2 linked regions of the Macaca fascicularis genome follow. The protein of the gene in region 2 binds, or shares a complex with, the protein of the main gene of each other region. Links are inferred from orthologs where the notes say so. Each region holds a gene or a part of one and is shown on either strand. Other genes may lie near its edges.

What was found. Proteins that work in one complex are often made in the same cells at the same time.
Region 1: TUBGCP5 (region 2) and tubulin gamma-2 chain share a complex: the UniProt entries of both Homo sapiens proteins name them as parts of the gamma-tubulin ring complex. The link is inferred for Macaca fascicularis from reciprocal best matches to the Homo sapiens genes TUBGCP5 and TUBG2.

Annotation. Positions count from the first base shown.
Region 1 is NC_088390.1:63,716,560-63,720,916, forward strand, and holds the start of tubulin gamma-2 chain, read left to right. Parts: upstream 1-1,535; 5' UTR 1,536-1,757; coding exon 1,758-1,806; intron 1,807-2,087; coding exon 2,088-2,200; intron 2,201-2,402; coding exon 2,403-2,570; intron 2,571-2,883; coding exon 2,884-2,952; intron 2,953-3,441; coding exon 3,442-3,468; intron 3,469-3,815; exon of another isoform or gene 3,816-4,197; intron 4,198-4,357. UniProt on the Homo sapiens protein: Tubulin is the major constituent of microtubules, protein filaments consisting of alpha- and beta-tubulin heterodimers. Gamma-tubulin is a key component of the gamma-tubulin ring complex (gTuRC) which mediates microtubule nucleation.
Region 2 is NC_088381.1:483,249-486,809, forward strand, and holds part of TUBGCP5 (gamma-tubulin complex component 5), read left to right. Parts: intron 1-155; coding exon 156-338; intron 339-473; exon of another isoform or gene 474-788; intron 789-2,669; coding exon 2,670-2,754; intron 2,755-2,853; coding exon 2,854-2,974; intron 2,975-3,422; coding exon 3,423-3,561. UniProt on the Homo sapiens protein: Component of the gamma-tubulin ring complex (gTuRC) which mediates microtubule nucleation.

The sequences.
Region 1 (4,357 bases), on a different chromosome or scaffold from region 2:
GAAAAAGGGCAGAGAAAAATAGAAACAGAAGAAAAAAAAGTAGATTGGTCATTTCAAAGTTACTTGTCTTGTAAAGGTTAAAGAAGAAAGGACTTCCGTATCATGCCGGCTAAAACTGGCCTGTTTGGGGTTTTGGCTGTTCCTTCTCTCTCCTGATTCCTCTGAAGGTTTGATAAACAACTTAGTGTTGCTTAGTGACATGGAACTTTAGCATGAGTGACTCCATTTTGGTTTGGTCTGTTGGGCCTAGCACAGGAGCTCAGTGCAAACCAATAGCCTCCTATATAATTGAACCCTTGTGCATCGCTGGTGGGAATATAAAATCGCTGCAGCTACCATGGAAAATCATATGGCGATTCCTCAGAACATTAAACAGAATTACCATAGGATCCAGCAATTCTATCTGTGGGTGTATATCCAAAATAATTGAAAGCAGAGACTCGAACAGATATCTGTACACTCACATTCAAAGCAGCAACATTCACAACAGCCAAAGGGTGGAAGCAACCCAAATGTCCATGGAGGGATGAATGGTTATGCAAAATGTGGTACATCTATACAACGTAATATTATTCAGTTGTAAAACGGAAGGAAATTCTGACACATGCTACAAAATGGAAGGATCTTGAAGATATTAAGTGAAAGCAGCCAGACCCAAAAAGACAAATACTGTATAATTCTACTCATATCAGGTGCCTAGAGTAGTCAAGGGGAAGTTACTGTTTAATCGCTATAGAGTTTCAGTTTGGGAAGATGAGAAAGTTCTAGAAAAGAATGGTGGTGACGGTTACAGAGCAATGTGAGTGTACTTGATGCCACAGAACTGTATGCAGTAATTACAAATGGTTACAGTGGTAAATTTTGGCCAGGAGTGGTGGCTCATGCCTGTAATTCCAGCATTTTGGGAGGCCGAGGTAGGAGGATTGATTGAGGTCAGGAGTTCAAGACCATCCTGGGCAACACGGTGAGATCCTCATCTTTATAAAAATACATTTTAAAAATTTAAAAATTACCTGGGCGTGGTAGCACACGCCTGTAGTCCCAGCTACTCGGGAGGCTGAAGTGGGAGGATCACTTAAGCCAGAAGTTCGAGGCTACAGTGAGCTATGATCTTACCACTGCACTCCAGCCTGGGCGACAGAGCGAGACACTTCTAAAAAATAAAAAATGAAAAGGTAACATACATGTGTATGTATTGTAACACCATTGAAACATAGAAATTTAAACGAAGAAAAGCTGGCTTCTAGCCCTTGGACCTAGCAAAGCTGGCAGAGTCCTCACCTACCAATATAGGTAGGTGACTCCTTACACGTGGACAAGCACGTCCACCTGGTCGCTTCGCCCCTACCCTCCCCTCCCTTCCCCTTCCCGCGTCTCCCCTCCCTTCCCCTTCCCGCGTCTCCCCTCCCCTCCCCTCCGCTCCCCTCCCCTCCCCCACACATCCATGTTCCGACCCTGCCACCCCTAACAAGTCTCACTGCGCAGGCGCGGAGCGGTGGGCAGGAGCAGGCGTGGCCTGACTGTGCGCTTGTGCCGAATTCCAGCTGCGACTGCTGAGGAAGAAAATGATGCCCAGGTTGGGCTCCACGGCCCACCGGCCGAGGAGAGGCCTGCGCTGCACACGCGCAGACCGAGCATCCGCGTCAAGAGGCGAAGAGAGCGCGCGCTCCCCACGTCCTGCGCGCCTGGCTGCCAGGCATTCGTCTCAGCCGTGACTCTCGCCAGGCCGGGGCTGGGGCGCCCACGTCTGAAGAGCGATGCCCCGGGAGATCATCACCCTGCAGCTGGGCCAGTGCGGCAACCAGAGTGAGCAAGCGAGCGCCGCCCCCACCGGTCTCTGGTTCTGCCCCTTTGGGTCCCACCCAAGTGCCTGGCTTCCACCAGTCCCCCTTCCCCTTCCATGAACCCCCTAGCCTGCTGCTCTGGATAACCCAGACCGAGAGCTGCGCTCCCAGCCCGGGACTGGGGCAGCCACCAGACCCAGGCATCTTGGGTCCACCCTCTGATCGTGTCGGCCTCTGAGACTAAAACTGGGCTCCTCAGGCCTTAAGGCTCCAGCAGACCCGGGCATCTCCCCCCTCCCCCAGTTGGGTTCGAGTTCTGGAAACAGCTGTGCGCTGAGCATGGTATCAGCCCCGAGGGCATCGTGGAGGAGTTCGCCACCGAAGGCACTGACCGCAAGGACGTCTTTTTCTACCAGGTGCCCCCAGCGACTTGGCCAAGGGCGGCAATGGCCCGAGGGGCCAGAAGGGAAGGGAGTGGCCTGGTACTGGGAACCCTGCTGGGCAGTGGGGCCAGGCGGCTGGCTTGAGGAGGGAGGGCTGGAGGGAGCCAGAGTTGGGAGGACTTAGGACTTGGGCCACCCTAGCTGATTGGGCCCCCTCCTGGACTCCCCTTGACAGGCAGACGATGAGCACTACATCCCCCGGGCCGTGCTGCTGGACCTGGAGCCCCGGGTGATCCACTCCATCCTCAACTCCCCCTATGCCAAGCTCTACAACCCAGAGAACATCTACCTGTCGGAGCATGGAGGAGGAGCTGGCAACAACTGGGCCAGTGGATTCTCCCAGGTGTCCGGGCGACTATTCCAGAGACCTTTGATAGTCCCATCCAGAGGCAAGGGAGGCTCAAGCTACTAGGAATTTGACCAGACTGCCAGAAAATAAGAGACAAAAGGATTCCCCAAACAAGAGGGACAGCCAGGGAGAGGTTTATGCAAATTTTGTGCAAATCATTTGCAATAGTAGCACTTCTGGGTTGAGGGCTACAGCCTAGGCTTTGCTTCAGGGTGGCAACAGTATTCCAGGGTAGACAGTGCTGTACTGAGAAAAGATGCGCTCTGGAACCTTTGGCCTGACCCTCCCTTTCCATGTCTCTATACAGGGTGAGAAAATTCATGAAGACATCTTTGATATCATAGACCGAGAAGCAGATGGAAGTGACAGTTTAGAGGTGAAGTTATGGAGTGGGGGAAGGAATGGGCAGGGAGGCTGAAGAGTGCTGGGGAAACGTCAGGAGGTGGCCTGGATAGGTGATGTGAGGGGAGCAATTCAATTCAAAACCCATTTATGGAGCATCAGATGTGGGATATTGAGGTGAATAAAATATAATCTTTGTTCTTAAGGAAGTCATAAATCTGAATGGCACTGGCCCCTTAGGCATGAGTCACTCAGCTTCTCCAGCTCCAAACCTTCCCAAGGAGCCTCAGCCTGGATGCGTAAGAGGAAGCTTTGAGACATGGGCGTTTTGGGAATGGGGAATGAGCCATGCCGAAGTCTTCCCCCAGATCCTTGGAGACTGCCTCTCCGTCTCTCCCCATGCTGGGCGCGATGTGTTCCTGGCTTACAACTCTTATAACCCATGTAATTTCCTAAGGGACTAGAGCAATAAGAGTATGTTTTGTTACAATATTTGACCTTTCGTCCTTGGTTTCTGAAACAGCTCCAGAACAGCTCCAGAGTGATAAAGGTGAAAGACAGTCTTTTGTTATTTATAACAAGCCCCTTTCTTTTAGATTAATCTTTCATTTTATTTTAATTAGTTAATTTTACTAACCGCTGTACTAAGGAGGAACAAGTGCATTTCAACCAAACCTGAGCTTATGTTAAAGAGGCGATTTTTTGGAAAGTCCCAGATAGCCACTGGATGGGGTGTTGGTTGCCAGGGGAACAAACCTGGTGCTCTGAGGGTTGGAATTTACAGGCCCATCCCTCACCTCTGGGGAAGGGAGAGGGATGAAGATTGAGTAGAGCACCAATTGTCAATGATTTAATCAGTCATGCCTGTGTAATGAAGCCTCCATAAAAATCCAAAAGGACTGAGTTCGGGGGCTTCCAGGAAGGTGAACAAGAACACATCCACAGGCCGGGAGGCTGCAAACCCAGCACCACAGGGCAGCAGCTCCTGTGCGCCGGAACCTTCCAGAGCTTCCCCTCGGTATCTCTTCATCTGGCTGTTTATTTGTATCCTTTAAAATATCCTTTATAACAAACGGGTAAACGTAAGTGGGTGTCTCCTTGAGTTCTGCGAGCTACTCTAACAAATTAATTGAACCCAAGGAGCAGTCCTGAGAACCCCAATTTATAGCCGGTTGGTCAGAGGCACAGATAAAACAACCTGAAGCTTGTATTGGCATTGGAAGTGGGAGAGTCTTGTGGGACTGAGCCTTCACTCTGTGGGATCCGATGCTATCTTTAGGTACGGATACTTCTCAACTTACAGTGGGTTTATCAGGACATCACAAATTGAAAATATTGACTAGGCACAGTGGCTCATGCCTGTAATCCCAGCACTTTGGGAGGCTGAAGCGGGTGGATCACCTGAGCCCAGGACCTGGGCAACATGGTGAAACCCCATC
Region 2 (3,561 bases):
GCGCCCGGCCTAAGAGGTGTTAATATTTCTAATTTTAGTAAATGTAGAATGTAAACTTGTTTCACTAAAAACAGGGTACAAAACCTGGTGTTGATCCAGAATCCTGCCTTACGAACACCAGAGATCTTTGTGTCACTCATTTTATCTCCATGCAGGTTGGTAGAATACTTGCAAGCCATGAGAAATTTTTTCTTAATGGAAGGAGGAGATACCATGTATGACTTCTACACATCCATTTTTGATAAAATAAGAGAAAAGGAAACATGGCAGAATGTGTCTTTTCTTAATGTCCAACTCCAAGAAGCAGTAGGACAGCGTTATCCTGAGGATAGTTCACGGTAAATTATGGAAGCCACCTTTATTTAAATTAGTATAACATGAACTGTGTGCCAATAAGTCATCTATGAATTACACAGATTATTTTATTCTCATACTATTCCTATGAGTTTTACTAATATTATTTTACTTATTAGAAAATGGAGGCCAGGCACGGTGGCTCATACCTGTAATCCCAGCACTTTGGGAGGCAGAGGCGCTGGATCACCTGAGGTCAGGAGTTCGAGACCAGCCTGGCCAACATGGTGAAACTCCATCTCTACTAAAAATACCAAAAGCATGGTGGCAGGCACCTGGAATCCTGGCTACTTGGGAGGCTGAAGCAGGAGAATCTCTTGAACCTGGGAGGCAGAGGTTGCAGTGAGCCAAGATCACGCCACTGCATTCCAGCCTGGGCGTCAAGAACGAGACTCCATTTTAAAAAAAAGAAAATTGAGGCAGAGGCCAGCTAAGTGAGTCTGCCGCTAAACAAGAAAAGATGTTGAGATGCCACCATATGGCCAGGTGCAGTGGCTCATGCCAGTAATCCTAGCACTTTGGGAGGCCAAGTTGGGAGGATTGCTTGAGCTCAGGAGTTTGCAACCAGTCTGGGCAACATAGTGGGACCTCGTCCCTACAAAAAAAAGTTGCCACCATCCAGCCTGTCAGGGTCTGGTGGCCTCCTTCACATGGCTGGAGCCAGTGCTTCCTCTCTCTCAGCTCCCACACGTGAGGTTTATCAGTCCCGCCTCCTAGAGAATGCCCCTGACCTCACAGAACTGGCTCAGACCTCCCCGATGGCCTGTCTCTCTCAGCCTCACTGCCTTCCACCAAAACAGACTTGACCCTCACCAGAGTGACCTCAGACCACCAGCAGTGACTTCCACCACTCATGCGTGTGCTCGCCGTGGGTGCCTCCTAACAAATGGACTAAGCTTTGTCTCAGAAGGGAGAAAGCTATTAACTGTCTGGCTCCGTTTTCCCAGCCTCATGTGTTGCACCATACACACCACGTTCTCTCTCTTATCTCACTTTGCATTTCAGGGATCTCAGAATATTTCTGGTGTCTGCACGTGCTGTCCTCTCGCCTCCCTGTGACATACTCTCCAATTCTTGGGCCCGGCAGAGGTCTGCTCACTCCTGCATCTTCATGTGCTGCGCTGGGCTGGGAGTCCCTGGAGGGAAGAGAGAGTGGCTTTCTATTGCCTGCTCAGTGCAGCAGCTAACTTAGTATTGAATTTGGTAGATATCTACTGAGCACTGAGTGAATGCGTGCATACCAGGCCATTAAGAGCTAAAAATTCTTTTTTTTGAGACGGAGTCTTGCTTTGTCGCCCAGGCTGGAGTGCACTGGTGCGATCTTGGCTCACTGCAAGCTTCGCCTCCAGGGTTCAGGCCATTCTCCTGCCTCAGCCTCTTGAGTAGCTGGGACTACTGGCTCCCGCCACCATGCCCGGCTAATTTTTTTTATTTTTACTAGAGATGGGGTTTCACCGTGTTAGCTAGGATGGTCTCGATCCAACCTCGTGATCCGCCTGCCTCGGCCTCACAAAGTGCTGGGATTACAGGTGTGAGCCACCGCGCCTGGCCGAGAGCTAAAATTTCTGACTAGTGCCTGTGTCACAATCAGCCAGTTCATAATCACACTGCCCTTTGACAGCTCTGGTGTGGAAGTTCACTCCCCACTTTAAACCTTCTTCATATGCATGCAGGCATCCCCTCTTAGTGCCTCTGTGACCGTGAAAGAGGACATTTCTCAGGAACCACTGATGGGACTATTTTGAGGATTAAATGAGCTAAGGACACATAATAGTGCCTGGCACTTGGACATTTTCATGTCCATGTTAGATGCTTGCTTTCCCATATGAGTCATGTTCAAACCTGTCTCGAACTCGTGGATGAAGCACTGCACAACACCTCTGGTGTAGAAGCAGACCCCGTCCCATCTTGATGGGGCTCTCAAAGCAATACTCTCACCGCATGCTAAGCTCCCTCGAGCTGTTCTGCTCGTCCTCCCCTGCCCACCCCCAACCTCAGCAGAGGCTTCATCTTCCCAGCCATTGCCTGAGGTTTACTGTCTTCCTCAGCTTCATCTTTTTTCTAATTACTACCATTGTTGTGTCTCTTCTACAACTAAACTCATTATGTAAAAGCTTTCCCCCTCTCTGTTATTTCTAAATCCAAATTTCAGCTCTGGAATATATGTTAGAAAAGATACATTTGTTGAAATGTTTGCATTTCTTTTATGAAATGCAGTATCTTTTGGGGAATATTGTGTAAATACTAATTATTTTAAAAGGATTTTTGTGTGACATAGTGCTTTCACAAACTAAAACTGAAATTTCTTTCTTTAGTCTATCTATATCTTTTGAAAATGTTGACACAGCTAAGAAGAAACTGCCTGTTCATATCTTAGACGGTCTGACCCTCAGCTACAAGGTATATGCTTATATTATTTGTATGAACAGTGTTTTCTACTAAAATTAAAACATGCAAGTAATTGGTTATTTCTGTTCTAATTGTGTTTTTGTTTCATAGGTCCCATGGCCCGTGGACATTGTTATAAGTTTGGAATGTCAAAAAATTTATAATCAAGTGTTTCTTCTCTTACTGCAAATAAAGTGGGCAAAATATAGTCTGGATGTTTTACTTTTTGGTGGTAAGATTTGTTTTCAGCAGATAAATTGTAATTTAATTTAATTTTAGCCCTTAATAAAAGAGGTTGGTGGGGAAGGGAAGCATACGGAGATCTGGAAAAAAGAAAAAAAAGAGGTTGGTGGTTGTCGATCTTTTTTTATGTGTATAGAAATGCCAAAATGGTGCGTATTCCAGCAGTGGGTTTACGGATGTCAAATACCTGAAAGAAAGATCAGGAAGTTGTATGTACAGTTGATCTGAAATGCAACAACTTGGTTAGGAAAAGTGATACAGGGAACTTTCCCCACTCTTCCAGAGGCACTGAGGTTCGGTTCCTGCCACCCCTGCCATTGCTTTCTGTGGTACCAGGGCCACATCCCTCCGAGTTTCTGCCAAAAACAGGCATCATGGTGCAGTGGGGCTTGAGTTGATGCTCTTTCTGTCCACTGTGCTCTTCCCATCTTTTATAGAACTGGTTAGTACTGCGGAAAAACCACGACTTCAAGAAGGCCTTGTCCGTGAACAAGACACAGTTGCTCAGTTCGGACCACAAAAAGAACCAGTAAGACAGCAGATTCATCGCATGTTCCTCTTAAGAGTGAAGCTCAT